Linked DNA regions of Mus musculus. The protein of the gene in region 1 purifies or fractionates together with the protein of each later gene. This does not show direct contact. Links are inferred from orthologs where the notes say so. Each region holds a gene or a part of one and is shown in the gene's direction. Other genes may lie near its edges.

Region 1 (3,827 bases):
CTAAATAGGACTTAAGGTCATAATTTAGGGAAGTAATCCTACCGCCCCACCCTAATTTGGGGCTGCCACATACCAGGCATTGAGCTGCCTGGAGAAGGTAGAGATGGGATATAAGGCCTGGTTGAATCCCTTTGTAGGTGGAGCCTCTAGGATCTAACATATTCCGAAAATTGAACCCACATCCTCATGCTTGCGGGCAAGCACCCTACCTGACCAAGCAGACAATAATATCTTTCCAAACAAATCCAGCTCCCTAAGACATTTAAAAAGCAAAACAAAACCCAAAACACAAGGTCTCACTATCTAGACCAGGCTGGCCTTGAACTCAAGAGACCATCCCGTCTCTGCCCACAGAGCTGGGGTTAAGGAGGCACCGCCACCCAGCCTCTTTAAGGCAATCTCAGCTGAATTCTTGTTACCTTAGCAGCTTGTTTTTGTACCAATCACTACCATTTCTGTCCATAAGCAGTTGTTTAGAATTACTCAAGCGTGCATCTGTTAACTTGGTTCCCATCAAATTTCTTCCCTTTGAGCTGTATGTTTCTGAAGTACAAACTAACTTTTTTTTTCAAACAATGGTCCTTTGTAAATTCTTTTGTTTTATCTTTTTTCTTCCTTACTTCAACTCTAGCCCATCCTCCTGCCTCAAACTCCCATAGAGCTAGGACTACAAATGAGAGCCAGCTACATCTGGCATTGATTCTGGCTTTCAATCGATTTTTAAAGTTCTTCAAGGGGCCGCCTCTCCGTGTCCGTCCAGTCCCTCTATCCCCTCCACCTCCCGCAAAACCTGAGATACTGAACTTAAGCCTTCCATCTGCTAGGCAAGTATCCTACCCTGACCCTCGGTAACATTCCCAGACCATACTTCTTTCTATCCTACCAAGGGGCTCTACCTGTAAAATCTGACTTCGCGTGTTGTCAGTTCCGAATGTTCTCCATCTCATGGTTAACCACTTCTGATATAGCCCCCCCATTCAGCGATTCTCTCCTGCTTTATCTAAACCACCTATTAACCAACCTCACTCTGGAAATCTATGCTTTCTATGGTTGTTCCAGAATTCTTTGAAAGCCTGGGTGGGGGGTCTGGAGCAATGGTTCGACAATTAAGAGCCCTTGCTATTATTTCAGAGGACCTAAGCTTGATTCCCAGCAGTGCGATTAACTCCAGCCTAAGGAAATCCGATGCTATGTTCTGCATCCGCGGGCATACACTTACAGACACATTAAAAATTTTAAAACTCTGGGTGTTCCATCCTCTCCCCGCTCCACCTTCCTTCTCGAATGCTAAACTCGATGAAGGTGCGGTGAACTACTCCGCAGCGTCGAGAGACTGGATGGAGGCGACAAATGCCTGGCTTCTGAGTCTGTGGCGCCAAAGAGAGGAGCTTGCCATCGTGACGTCACAGAACTGTGACGCGCCCTGGAGCTCCGCCTCCTTACGACCTGCGCCGGGAATCCGGGCTGTCTGCGCCGTGGCGTCACAGGTCCAGGCAGGCGGGTTTTCCGTCGGCCCAATGGGAGCGGCGCGCCGGCCTCCCCTTTAAGGAATGTTGTGACCTGACGTCACCCAGGCGAGTTACCTCCCGCAGCCGCCACCGCCAGGCTCAGCGCGAGCCCCGCAGCCCTTGAGCTCGAGCCCCGGAGCCCCCGGCGCGCCGAACCGCAGACGCATCTCTGAGCCGCGCACCCCGGAGCCCCGGCTGCGCGCCCCGCCGGGCCCGCGCGATGCCCTCCGACCGGCCTTTCAAGCAGCGGCGCAGCTTCGGTGAGGCCCTGGGGGGCGAACTGCCATCGGGGATCGAGGGATGGGGGTGCCAGTCGACCCCGATTGCCGCAGGTGACGTCAGCCCCATGACGTCAGGCACCGGCCGGCCGGACCCCGGGTGGAGAGGCCGCAAGGCCTGGCAGGGTCGCCCGCCTCCCTACCGCGTCCCCCCGGTGGAGGGCTGCGGGGCCGACGGCCCCGGGGGCGGGCGCTGGGGCGGGGCGGGCCGGGAGCCGCCCCTCGGGGATCAGCGAGGCGGAGTCGCGGGAGGCCTCAGCACCGCTGGGCCTCACACAGAGCTCTGTCCGCAGCCGACCGCTGTAAGGAGGTGCAGCAGATCCGCGACCAGCACCCCAGTAAGATCCCGGTGAGTCTCTAGCACCCCCCAGCCACGCCCTGCCCTGCCAGGTCCCGCCCTTGGCTTACGAGTCCCCCGCCCACTCCACTCCAGGTGATCATCGAGCGCTACAAGGGTGAGAAGCAGCTGCCTGTCCTGGATAAGACCAAGTTTCTGGTCCCAGACCATGTTAACATGAGCGAGTTGGTCAAGATCATCCGGTGCGTGGGCAGCCTCCTACAGGCCTTGGGTGGGGCAGGGTCAGGTTCCACAAGAAGGGATGGAGTGGGGCGAGGGGACTGATTTGGGACACCGGGCCCCTGTTCTAGGAGGCTGGAAAAGACCAAGGTCGGGGTTGGGACGAGCTTCAGTAGAGGTGAGAGCCTCTGGCTGAGATGGACCGAAAGTGAAGGTTCAGTAACATTTTGGGAGGGTCACCTAGGCCTCCAGCAGGCAGCCTCCTCACCTGGCATGCCTGCCTGCCTCCACAGGCGCCGCCTGCAACTCAACCCCACGCAGGCCTTCTTCCTGCTGGTCAACCAGCACAGCATGGTGAGCGTCTCCACACCCATCGCTGACATCTATGAACAGGAGAAGGATGAAGACGGATTCCTCTACATGGTCTACGCCTCCCAAGAAACCTTCGGCTTCTGAGTCAAGAGGAGGGGAGGGGGGTGGCTGGGAGTTCTGGTCAGGTTCTCCCCAGGGAGGTCCTGGCTCCTAAACTAAGCTATTTCAGTCCCCAGTGGATTAGGCAGAGATGTGACACCCACTCCCCCCCCCAGGTAGGGGCCACCAGCCAGCCTACCACATCCTGGGTAGGTCCTGGGCCAGTCATGTTCGGGTTGCTCTTTTGGGTGCTGGCTGGGTTGGGAGTGGGTGGGGAGCAGCATCCCTGCTCTGTGGGGTTTGTCATTTTGTTAGGCCCTTGCCTGTCTGCCCATCTTGCCCCTCATCCACCTGAGGCTTTGCCTCCTGCCAGGACCTGCCCCACCCCTGAAAGGCTGGCTCCCCTTGTCCTGACTCGGTGTATGGATCTGTGGTCATTTCCTCTGCAGAAAGAATAAAGACTGCTCAGGCCTGCCTGGCCCTTTGCCTCCAGCTGCTTGTTTGGGAGCAGGGAGGGCTGCTAGGTGACTGTGTTCACACACAGAGACAGACGCGTGTTCCCAGAAACCCACTCCTTAGTACAGGATAGCACGTAGTATTAGGGGGCCAAGCTCACTCCACTCCAGGAATACATGTCATCAGAACAACAATGAAAAAAAAAAGATCCACACATTTATTAAGTAGTCACAACCTATAAAGCCCTGCTCACCGGCTGCTTCCTTTCTGTGCACAGTCACAAAGTGGGGGTCCAAGTGGGGTGCTCCTAGCTTCTCCCCATGGGCCTTGTTGCCAGCTATGAGTCCCCTTTGGTGCCAGAGATTTGTGACCCTGGACTTGAACTTCTTCTGCCTGAGGACGCGCCTGCTGGCAACTCTGGATGAGGGACCTGGCCCAGCTTCTGGCCCTTCCCCCTCTTGTCCATGCAGCGCTGTGCCAGCCAGGGCTACTTGAGCACAAGCATGGCCTCAGTGCCGTCCTTGGCAGTCAAGTAGAGGCCGTGTGTGAGGTAATACTCCCGCCGCAGGAAGGCATAGAAGTAGTCAGAGATGAGCAGGATCTGGCAAGGAAAGAGAGTGTGAGAAGCCACAAGGCACCTTACTGAATGCTACCCTT
Region 2 (3,644 bases), on another chromosome or scaffold:
AAAGGAAGGAGGGAAAAGAAGAAAAAGGGCTGGGGGTGTGACTCAGTTGGCAGAGCACTTGCCCCGCGTTCAGGAAGCCCTCATAAACCCAGCTGTCATCCCAGCGCTCTGGGGGTAGAGGGAGGAGAATCAGGAATTCAATATTTATCTTTGGCTGTATGGCAAGTTCAAGGCCAGCCTGGGATATAAGAGACCCTGTCTCAAGACAGACAAACAACCCCCCCACACACACACACACAAATTTAGGGCTTGGAGCAAGGGTAAGAAAATGAGAAAAAATTTTAATTTTGTATTTGTAGTGCTGGGAATAGAACCTAGAAATCTATGCTTGCTAGGTCAGCTGTCTACCCCAAGCTAACCCCGCCCATGCCTGAAAATGGAAATGTAAACAAATGTGCTAGGGGCTCTAATGTGTGTGGTCTGTGAATAGGGTGGCCCCTTCAAGGACTGTAGGATGCAGGGATGGACTGGACGCTGCTGGGCTAATGGGGCGTGTTCACCCATCTCTGATCATGTTGCTCAGAGAACCACCTGGGAGACCCAGTTAGACATTTGGAGTTGAACACCTGCCCAGATGTCACTTAGTGACCCTGGATGTCCTACCCCACATGTCTGTAGCAAATCTTGTGGTGTGAGGCAATGAATCCTGCTAGGGGTGAAGTGCACAGGTGCTGCAGCCCTAAGGGGTAAAGCCGTCTAGGCTAGAGGGAATTGCTGTTGCTGTCAGTCATAATTGATGACAGTGAACCTGGATTCTGATGACCCCTCACTTCTGGAGCCAGGCCTGGTGCTGCACATCCTTCATCTCTCCGCACTGGGGAGACTAAAGCAGGAGATCGCGGAGAGTTCAAGGCTAGCTTGAACTACATAGCAGGGTTCTATCTCAAAACAAACAAAAAACCAACCAAACAAAAACCTAAAAATAAATGTGCAAGCAGATGGAGGGCCGTGGTGTAAGGGTTGACCACGGGTGACCACGGGGTATTATGTCTTTTGCAGATATGAGCCAGAGCGGGACGAGTGGCATCTAGTCGCGCCAATGTTGACACGGAGGATTGGCGTGGGCGTGGCAGTGCTCAACCGCTTGCTGTATGCAGTGGGGGGCTTTGACGGGACTAACCGGCTTAACTCCGCAGAATGTTACTATCCAGAGAGGAATGAGTGGCGGATGATCACACCGATGAATACCATCCGGAGCGGGGCCGGTGAGTGGGGGGTGGAGTGAGGACAGCCCAGCCCAGCGAGGAAGCGAGGAAGCGTTTGCTTTACCCTCCTCCCTCTGTTACATGACTGAGGCTGCCCTCGAAGTCCTTATGTCGCTGAGGTTGACTTTGAACTCCTGATCCTCCTACTCCAGCTTCTCCAGTGGTGGAGGGAAGGGCAGTGGCTACTAAAGTCCCTTGTCCAGTGGCCCTGCCCCCACCCCCCACCCCAGACCAGGCTTACGGTGACTCCCACTGTGCGCTTTCCTTTAGGGGTCTGCGTGCTGCACAACTGTATCTATGCAGCAGGGGGCTACGATGGGCAGGACCAGTTGAACAGTGTGGAGCGCTACGACGTGGAGACAGAGACCTGGACTTTCGTAGCCCCCATGAGGCATCACCGTAGTGCGCTGGGGATTACTGTGCACCAGGGCAAGATCTACGTCCTCGGTGAGGCCCTTGGAGGCTGGATCAGGGTGAAAACCACACTTGAGTGTCCATATCTTTTCTTCTCCAAGTTTTGGTGCTGAGTATAAAAGCCAGAGAGTCCCGAATGCTTGGCAAGTGTCCTTTAATTGTGCCCCGCCCCACTGGGGGATTCTGGGCCGAAGCTCTACTACTAAGCCGCTCCCCCACCCACTCTTACAACACTTCCCACCCTGTACCCCACCTTCACTGGGAAGTTTAGGCAGGGGCTCTAGACTGAACCACATTCCACCTCCAACCTATCCATCGCAAACAGGGGGCTTCTTTTCCCTTCTGTTCTCTGCCGCCTTGCGTGGTAGGCTGGGCACTCTGAGGGGGTGACCATTCTCTTCATTCTCCCTGCAGGAGGCTATGATGGCCACACTTTTCTGGACAGTGTGGAATGCTATGACCCGGACAGTGATACCTGGAGTGAGGTGACCCGCATGACATCTGGCCGCAGCGGGGTGGGTGTGGCCGTCACCATGGAACCCTGTCGGAAGCAAATTGATCAACAAAACTGTACCTGCTGAAGCACTTGGAATACCTGAGCACTGACAACAGGACAGAAAAACAGTCTGTGTATCACTGCTTCTCTGTACTAAAGAAAAAAGAAGAAAACAAAGCATAAACAGAAAACACAGGGCCGAAGAGGCGGCAGAAGAAGTCATCCCTTCTTCCAGGAAGGGCGACTGGGATGCCTTGTAAAGGACCTTGTGGAAGACCAGAACTCAAATCCATGGGCCCATCTGTCATAGCCCTGGAGCGTCCAAGTCTGGGATGGGGTATGGGCGGGGCACCCTCACAGGTGAGAAGCCCTTGAACTCCCACCACCAGAAGGGGGGGGACAGGCAAAGCAGGAGATCACATGTTTTTTTCTTTGGTTCCTGCAACTCGGTGATCAATTCCAGTGGACAGGGGAAGAAGGGACAGCTGAGGCCAAGGGGCTGAGGCTCCCTCTGGAACTGGGGCCCAAGGGACAAGCCGGCACAGAGAAGCCTCTGGGCTCTGAGCCCTGAACAGTTATTTTGTTAAATAACCCTGTAAGTTTCCCATGGGAATAAAGAATGGAGTAGGCACACAGGTCTTCAGAGGGCGGTCGGAATCCCTCAGGGAGAGACAGCTCTTCTATTGAAATACACGCAGATCCTGATGGGGCTGGTATCTGAAACCCGTCTATTGTCTCTGCTTGCCATTGTACATTCTGCTCAGACAGGGCATCTTGCTTCTTGTGGGACACACAGTTGTCTGTCAGTTTCAGGGCATTAGAAGCCAATGACCTAACTTCTGTGCCTCCTAACTTCTCCTGGGGCCTCCTGTGTTTAGCTTTATTTTGAGGCAGGGACTCACGTCGTCCGGGATGGCCTTCAGTTCAGACCTTGAACTGACGCTGCCGCCTGTCCCAGCCTACCGAGTGCTGGGGCTACATCTGTATAGCGCAATGCCTGGTTCCTGCTTATTATTTTTGTACCCAAGCAGGAAAATAAAGGTTTCTGGGACATTGGGTGTGGCTCTGAATTAACCTGACATGTATGAGCCCTGGGTTCCATCCCTAGCACCTGTAAACTAGGCACGGTGGACCACACCTGTAATCCTAGCAGCAGGGGCAGAACCATGCTGGAGTTCATACATAACCAATGAAGGCCAGCCTGGCCAATAGAGACCTTGTCTCAGAGAGTAGTGGCCAGGCAGTGGTGGCGCATGCCTTTAATCTCTGCCCTTTGGAGGCAGAGGCAGGAGGATTTCTGCCAAGTTTGAGGCCAGTTTGGTCTTCAGAGTGAAATTCAGGATAGGCAGGGCTGTTGTTATACAGAGAAACTGTCTCCAAAAAAGCAAAGCAAAACAACAACAAAAACCATGTGCAACCAAGGCTGGGCCCTTGGGACTATTTTGAAAAGCACCAGAAGAAAGACTCAGGGTCATCCTGGGCTCTCTGTGGAGCTGGAAGCTATCCTGAGCTACAGTAGACAAGGTCAA
Region 3 (4,253 bases), on another chromosome or scaffold:
AAAACAATCTTTTCAAACATTGCAGGACAGGGCACATTCAAGTGCTTAAGTGAAATTATGTAAACACAAAACATCCTAAATATGGTGGCAAGGCTCTTCTTCAAGGGTCTGTTGTCTGCCTTCTCACTTGCCTGGTTCTCCTCTCAGCCCAGATATGAAAGGCAGTATTTGGGGGGAATACTAAACGCAACTGAAATGACTAAGCAGATTTCTCTAAGCAAAACCGCTTACGCAAAATTATTGTACACCCAGTGGTTGTCTTATGTTCTTTAGGTTGAAAGGGGCATTGAAAGTAATTTCCTCAAGAACTTTCAGGGGGATTAAGACGAACTATGTGGAAATGAACTCTCTAAATCTTCCTTATATTGGTGCTATTGTGAGACATTACACCTTACACTTTAGCAAGAGCTCTGGGGCGGCTATTAATCGCTAATGAATGCTGCAGATAGCTTACTGCTGTAGGAAGGCAAGGTGCTCCGGTTTTGAAGGGCTTATTACATCGCCCACCCTGTAACTACAGGTAATGGTCCTACTACCATGTATGACTAACAGTCAATCCCTCAGCTCCAAGACAGCCCCTGAGGTTTCTTTCCCTAGCCATCCTTTGATCTACATCTTTTAAGCTTTTTCCTGTGGCCGAACCCTCCAGTTCTCGAAGGCCAAACTGATCTCTACACTAGGCTGATCTAAGTCCACCAAAATGTCCGCGGAAGCGCTCTCCAGGGGCCAGCAGGAGATTCTTCTCCCATGGCCTTCCCTGTCCTTTGAGATGGTTTATCTGAGGATCTCGAGGAGCCATCCGGCTCTCCTGGCGTCAGAAGGGCGTGCGTCAGGGCAAGGAAGCTTGCAGCTCAGTACGGTCCCCCTCCCTGAGGTGTCAGCAACCACCCACTGCGCGAAACCAGGCGGGGGAGGCGCGCCGCAGCCAGCCGCCCGAGGAGCTCTGCGGCGGGGCCGTTTCCCTTAGTCACCGCGGCACCCACGCCGCGGCCTTCTCCTCAGGCACTCGGTGTCCTCACGCCCAGGCCGCCACGCCGGCAGGGGGCTCAACCGCCACCTCCTCCCCAGGAGCAGCGGCCAGTATCTTGCCTCTCGCCCTCCACTCTGGCAGCCTTCAACCGACCCTTCCCTACCCGCATCACGTGCACCGGGAAGTGCGTGGGTGGGTCTTACAGCGCCTACGGAAATGACGTAGTTCGCCCCGAGTCGCATGATGTGGCAAAATGTTAAAAAAAAAAAAAAGTGGGAGGGGGGAGGGGAGAAGGGAGAAACCGGAGCCTGGGGAAAGTGATGAGTCTAGAAAAAGTAGTCCCTCGGTTCCTCTGTTTCCCCGCAGCCGCATCAGCGAAGAGCGCTCCGCGCACTGCGTCCCTGAATCCCTACGCCCGACCGCGGCGCGGCGTCTGTGGAAGGCTACATAAGGCGGACGGCGTGAGGAGACTGGGCGGAGTTCTGCCTCGGGATCCTTCCGCAGGGCTCAGCCGTTTCCGGAGTCTGCGCTGCTCCCGGTTCCGCCATTGCGGCTCTCCCGGCCCCTGGAGCCTCCGCCCCCGACCCAAGCTCTCTCGTCTGCCTGCCAGTTCCCTGCGTCCCCGGAGAGTATCCCTCTGAGCCCAGCCTCCCCTCCCCTTCCCCGTCTCCTCCTCTCCCTTGGAGAGCCCGGGCAGGCACTGCCCTGCAGCCCCAGTGACAGGAGGAGACCATACTCCCCGACAGCGCCATGGCCCAGATTCTGCCCATTCGCTTTCAGGAGCATCTCCAGGTACGTGTGAGTCGGGGCTGCTGAGGGACTTTTCGAGGGTCGTGGGAAGGAAGAAGCTAGCGGCCTGGCCCGAAAGGGATCGAGAGAAGGGGAGTGGGGGGTGTCGGTATTTGGCATAGGTGGAGGAAGGACAGTGTCTTAAAAGCTTAAAGGGTTAAATGATATGAGACTAGGATGGAAATGACGAATCGGAGTGCAAAGGGCGGCGAGGCCAGGCCTTACGTCTGACGACCTCTTATTCTGCTTCCTGGATTGCAAGAACTGCGCATACCAGACCCCCCTTCCCATTTTACTCAGTTCATTCATTTGGGTAGGGGCTAGGTGGGGGAGCTTCTCGCGCGTTTCTCCCAGAGCAAGATTTCTCGTTAACCCTGAGCGACGCGGGGCTGTCACCTTCCCTTGGTCTATTCCCATTTCTACATCGAGTCTGCACCCAGGAATTGTGTGGCGGGTGGGTTGGGGAGGAGCTGCATCCTCCCTCTGCAGCTCACCACTGAGAAAGGCACCTTGGGGTTAGGGTAGCAGTGGCTCGTGGCTTGCCTTCCCTGAATCTATAAGGAACCGAAGGTCACACTCACTGAAGGAACAGAAAGAAGATAGAGGGGCGGCAAGGGGCGGTGTCAGTCTCGGTGCCTGGGGTCAAGGTCCCAAGGGGAACGCGCATATTTTTCCTTTCTTGGTTTCTTCAGAGGGTTAGTGTAGCTCTTAGGCTCACTTTGATTCTTGCAGGTAGGGAGAGTTATTTAGAGGTTATTTATGGCCTTTTGGAATTTAGCAGGTAGTTGTGGGATTACGGCAGGAGTATGTCTCACAGGACTGCGTGGAATTCATCAGAGCCGGGTTTAAGTGCATACCTGCTCTGTGTCAGTACCTAACAAGTTGATCTGTAACTGGCTCCTTTTTAATAGTCTGGGGCGTCCCCCCTCCGCCCCCCACTGCACCTTATCCTGGAGTCAATACACCATTGTCTAACCTGGCAACCTGCCAGCAGTTGGCCTAGGCAGGTGACTGTTGGAGGGCTTCGCTGAATTACGCTTCTTCTGAACTGCTGATTTTCCTGGTTCACTTGTCCCGACTCTTTGACATCATAATTTATTCATATTAATTTACTTTCCCTCAAGTATCCCCATAAAGAAATCTGCTTTCAGCTGCATCTTCTGAAGGGCTAATTTCATGAGGGGGAGGTGCAGTGATCCAGTTCAAATATTGGTAACTTATTGAGTGCTTTATCATTGAAGGCAATCTGATTTACTTTTCTTCATTGATATACATAAAAGATGTTTGATAATAAAGAGGGTTAACTAAAATTTAGCACCAAGTAAAATAATTAAATATTTCTTTATAGACTTTACCGTGTTGCTAACATTAACGAATTATTTTACTTTAGGACTTCTTTGCCCATTAAATGACTTGAATACATTTTCTTCAGTCATCACTAGTTTTCAAATAATTCATCTGATTTTGGCAATAAGATCTCTATTTTGTAAAGGTCTGAAAAATGTCAAGTGACAATGCTGACAGAGAAGTTAATTTTTGTTCTCAATTCAAGCTTGAGTTTCCTCTGTTAAGAATATAAAGTGTTAGGAAAGCACTGTTCTGGATGTTAGTGGACAGTGGGCTCTTCAGGCTGAGTTAAGAGGGAGGCAGCCTGTGTACACTAACAACAGAAAAAAATCTAGCTTTAATTAATTGCTTGCTTTAATTAATTTGACCATGATTTGGGTTGCTGTTTTTTCTTCTCCCATCTTTGGGATTAACACTTGGCCACACTGAAGTTACCAGAAATAGCTTTCTGCAAATATGTGTATAAACCTTACACAAAAGAAGCAAAGACAACTGCTGATGACATGACCGTTGCTGGTGATTTGAGTAATAGTTTTTCATTTCTATTAAACTCAAGACCAGAATTGTTGAATGGTCTTACAGACTGGAATCCAAACTTGTCACTAATTAAAAACAGATTTAATGCAGGTGTGGCATGTGAGTAGCAATTTCTGCAAATATTTGAAACTGTTTTCCAAAATTTAAAGATTTTGAATATTTATAAAATAGCTTTACAGATACACTTGAAGATCTCGGATGCTTATTTTCTGGAGGACCTCATTACACTTTAGGCTTTGGCTGGTAGGATCCCACTCTAGTAGATAGAGTCAGGTGTGCCGAAAGGATAATGTATCTTCTGATCTCAGACTTTTATTCCCTCTCTTTTAACAAACAAACATACAGTGTAAGGATTATTCCAGTTGTCATCTTAAGTCTTTGATTGCCCAGCCTCTGCCATTCTGCTTAGAAAACAACTTTCTAAAGCATTTAGGAGAACTGGGAAGTAAGGAGTGTAGAGTTCACTTGTGAAAGTTAACAGCAAACTCTAAATTAATTTATTTTAAACTTTTTATGAGAATGTTGCAAATAAAAAATTGCTATTTATTTTCATATCCCTTTGTGCATTTGTTTAGATGAAGATCTGTCATCAAGGCTTGGAACTATATCA

Evidence for each region.
Region 2: the proteins of Map1lc3a (region 1) and Keap1 purify together in Homo sapiens (affinity purification with mass spectrometry; 3 studies listed by BioGRID and IntAct, with this or other methods). This does not show direct contact. The link is inferred for Mus musculus from reciprocal best matches to the Homo sapiens genes MAP1LC3A and KEAP1.
Region 3: the proteins of Map1lc3a (region 1) and Cltc purify together in Homo sapiens (affinity purification with mass spectrometry; 3 studies listed by BioGRID and IntAct, with this or other methods). This does not show direct contact. The link is inferred for Mus musculus from reciprocal best matches to the Homo sapiens genes MAP1LC3A and CLTC.

What each region holds. Positions count from the first base shown.
Region 1 is NC_000068.7:155,274,879-155,278,705, forward strand, and holds Map1lc3a (microtubule-associated proteins 1A/1B light chain 3A), read left to right. Parts: upstream 1-1,485; 5' UTR 1,486-1,728; coding exon 1,729-1,768; intron 1,769-2,079; coding exon 2,080-2,135; intron 2,136-2,219; coding exon 2,220-2,326; intron 2,327-2,596; coding exon 2,597-2,759; 3' UTR 2,760-3,195; downstream 3,196-3,827. Other genes in the region: Pigu (phosphatidylinositol glycan anchor biosynthesis class U protein precursor), read right to left, coding at 3,658-3,771. UniProt on the Homo sapiens protein: Ubiquitin-like modifier involved in formation of autophagosomal vacuoles (autophagosomes). While LC3s are involved in elongation of the phagophore membrane, the GABARAP/GATE-16 subfamily is essential for a later stage in autophagosome maturation.
Region 2 is NC_000075.6:21,229,258-21,232,901, reverse strand, and holds the end of Keap1 (kelch-like ECH-associated protein 1), read left to right. Parts: intron 1-999; coding exon 1,000-1,205; intron 1,206-1,475; coding exon 1,476-1,652; intron 1,653-2,033; coding exon 2,034-2,200; 3' UTR 2,201-3,172; downstream 3,173-3,644. UniProt on the Homo sapiens protein: Substrate-specific adapter of a BCR (BTB-CUL3-RBX1) E3 ubiquitin ligase complex that regulates the response to oxidative stress by targeting NFE2L2/NRF2 for ubiquitination.
Region 3 is NC_000077.6:86,754,757-86,759,009, reverse strand, and holds the start of Cltc (clathrin heavy chain 1), read left to right. Parts: upstream 1-1,442; 5' UTR 1,443-1,720; coding exon 1,721-1,762; intron 1,763-4,253. UniProt on the Homo sapiens protein: Clathrin is the major protein of the polyhedral coat of coated pits and vesicles. Two different adapter protein complexes link the clathrin lattice either to the plasma membrane or to the trans-Golgi network.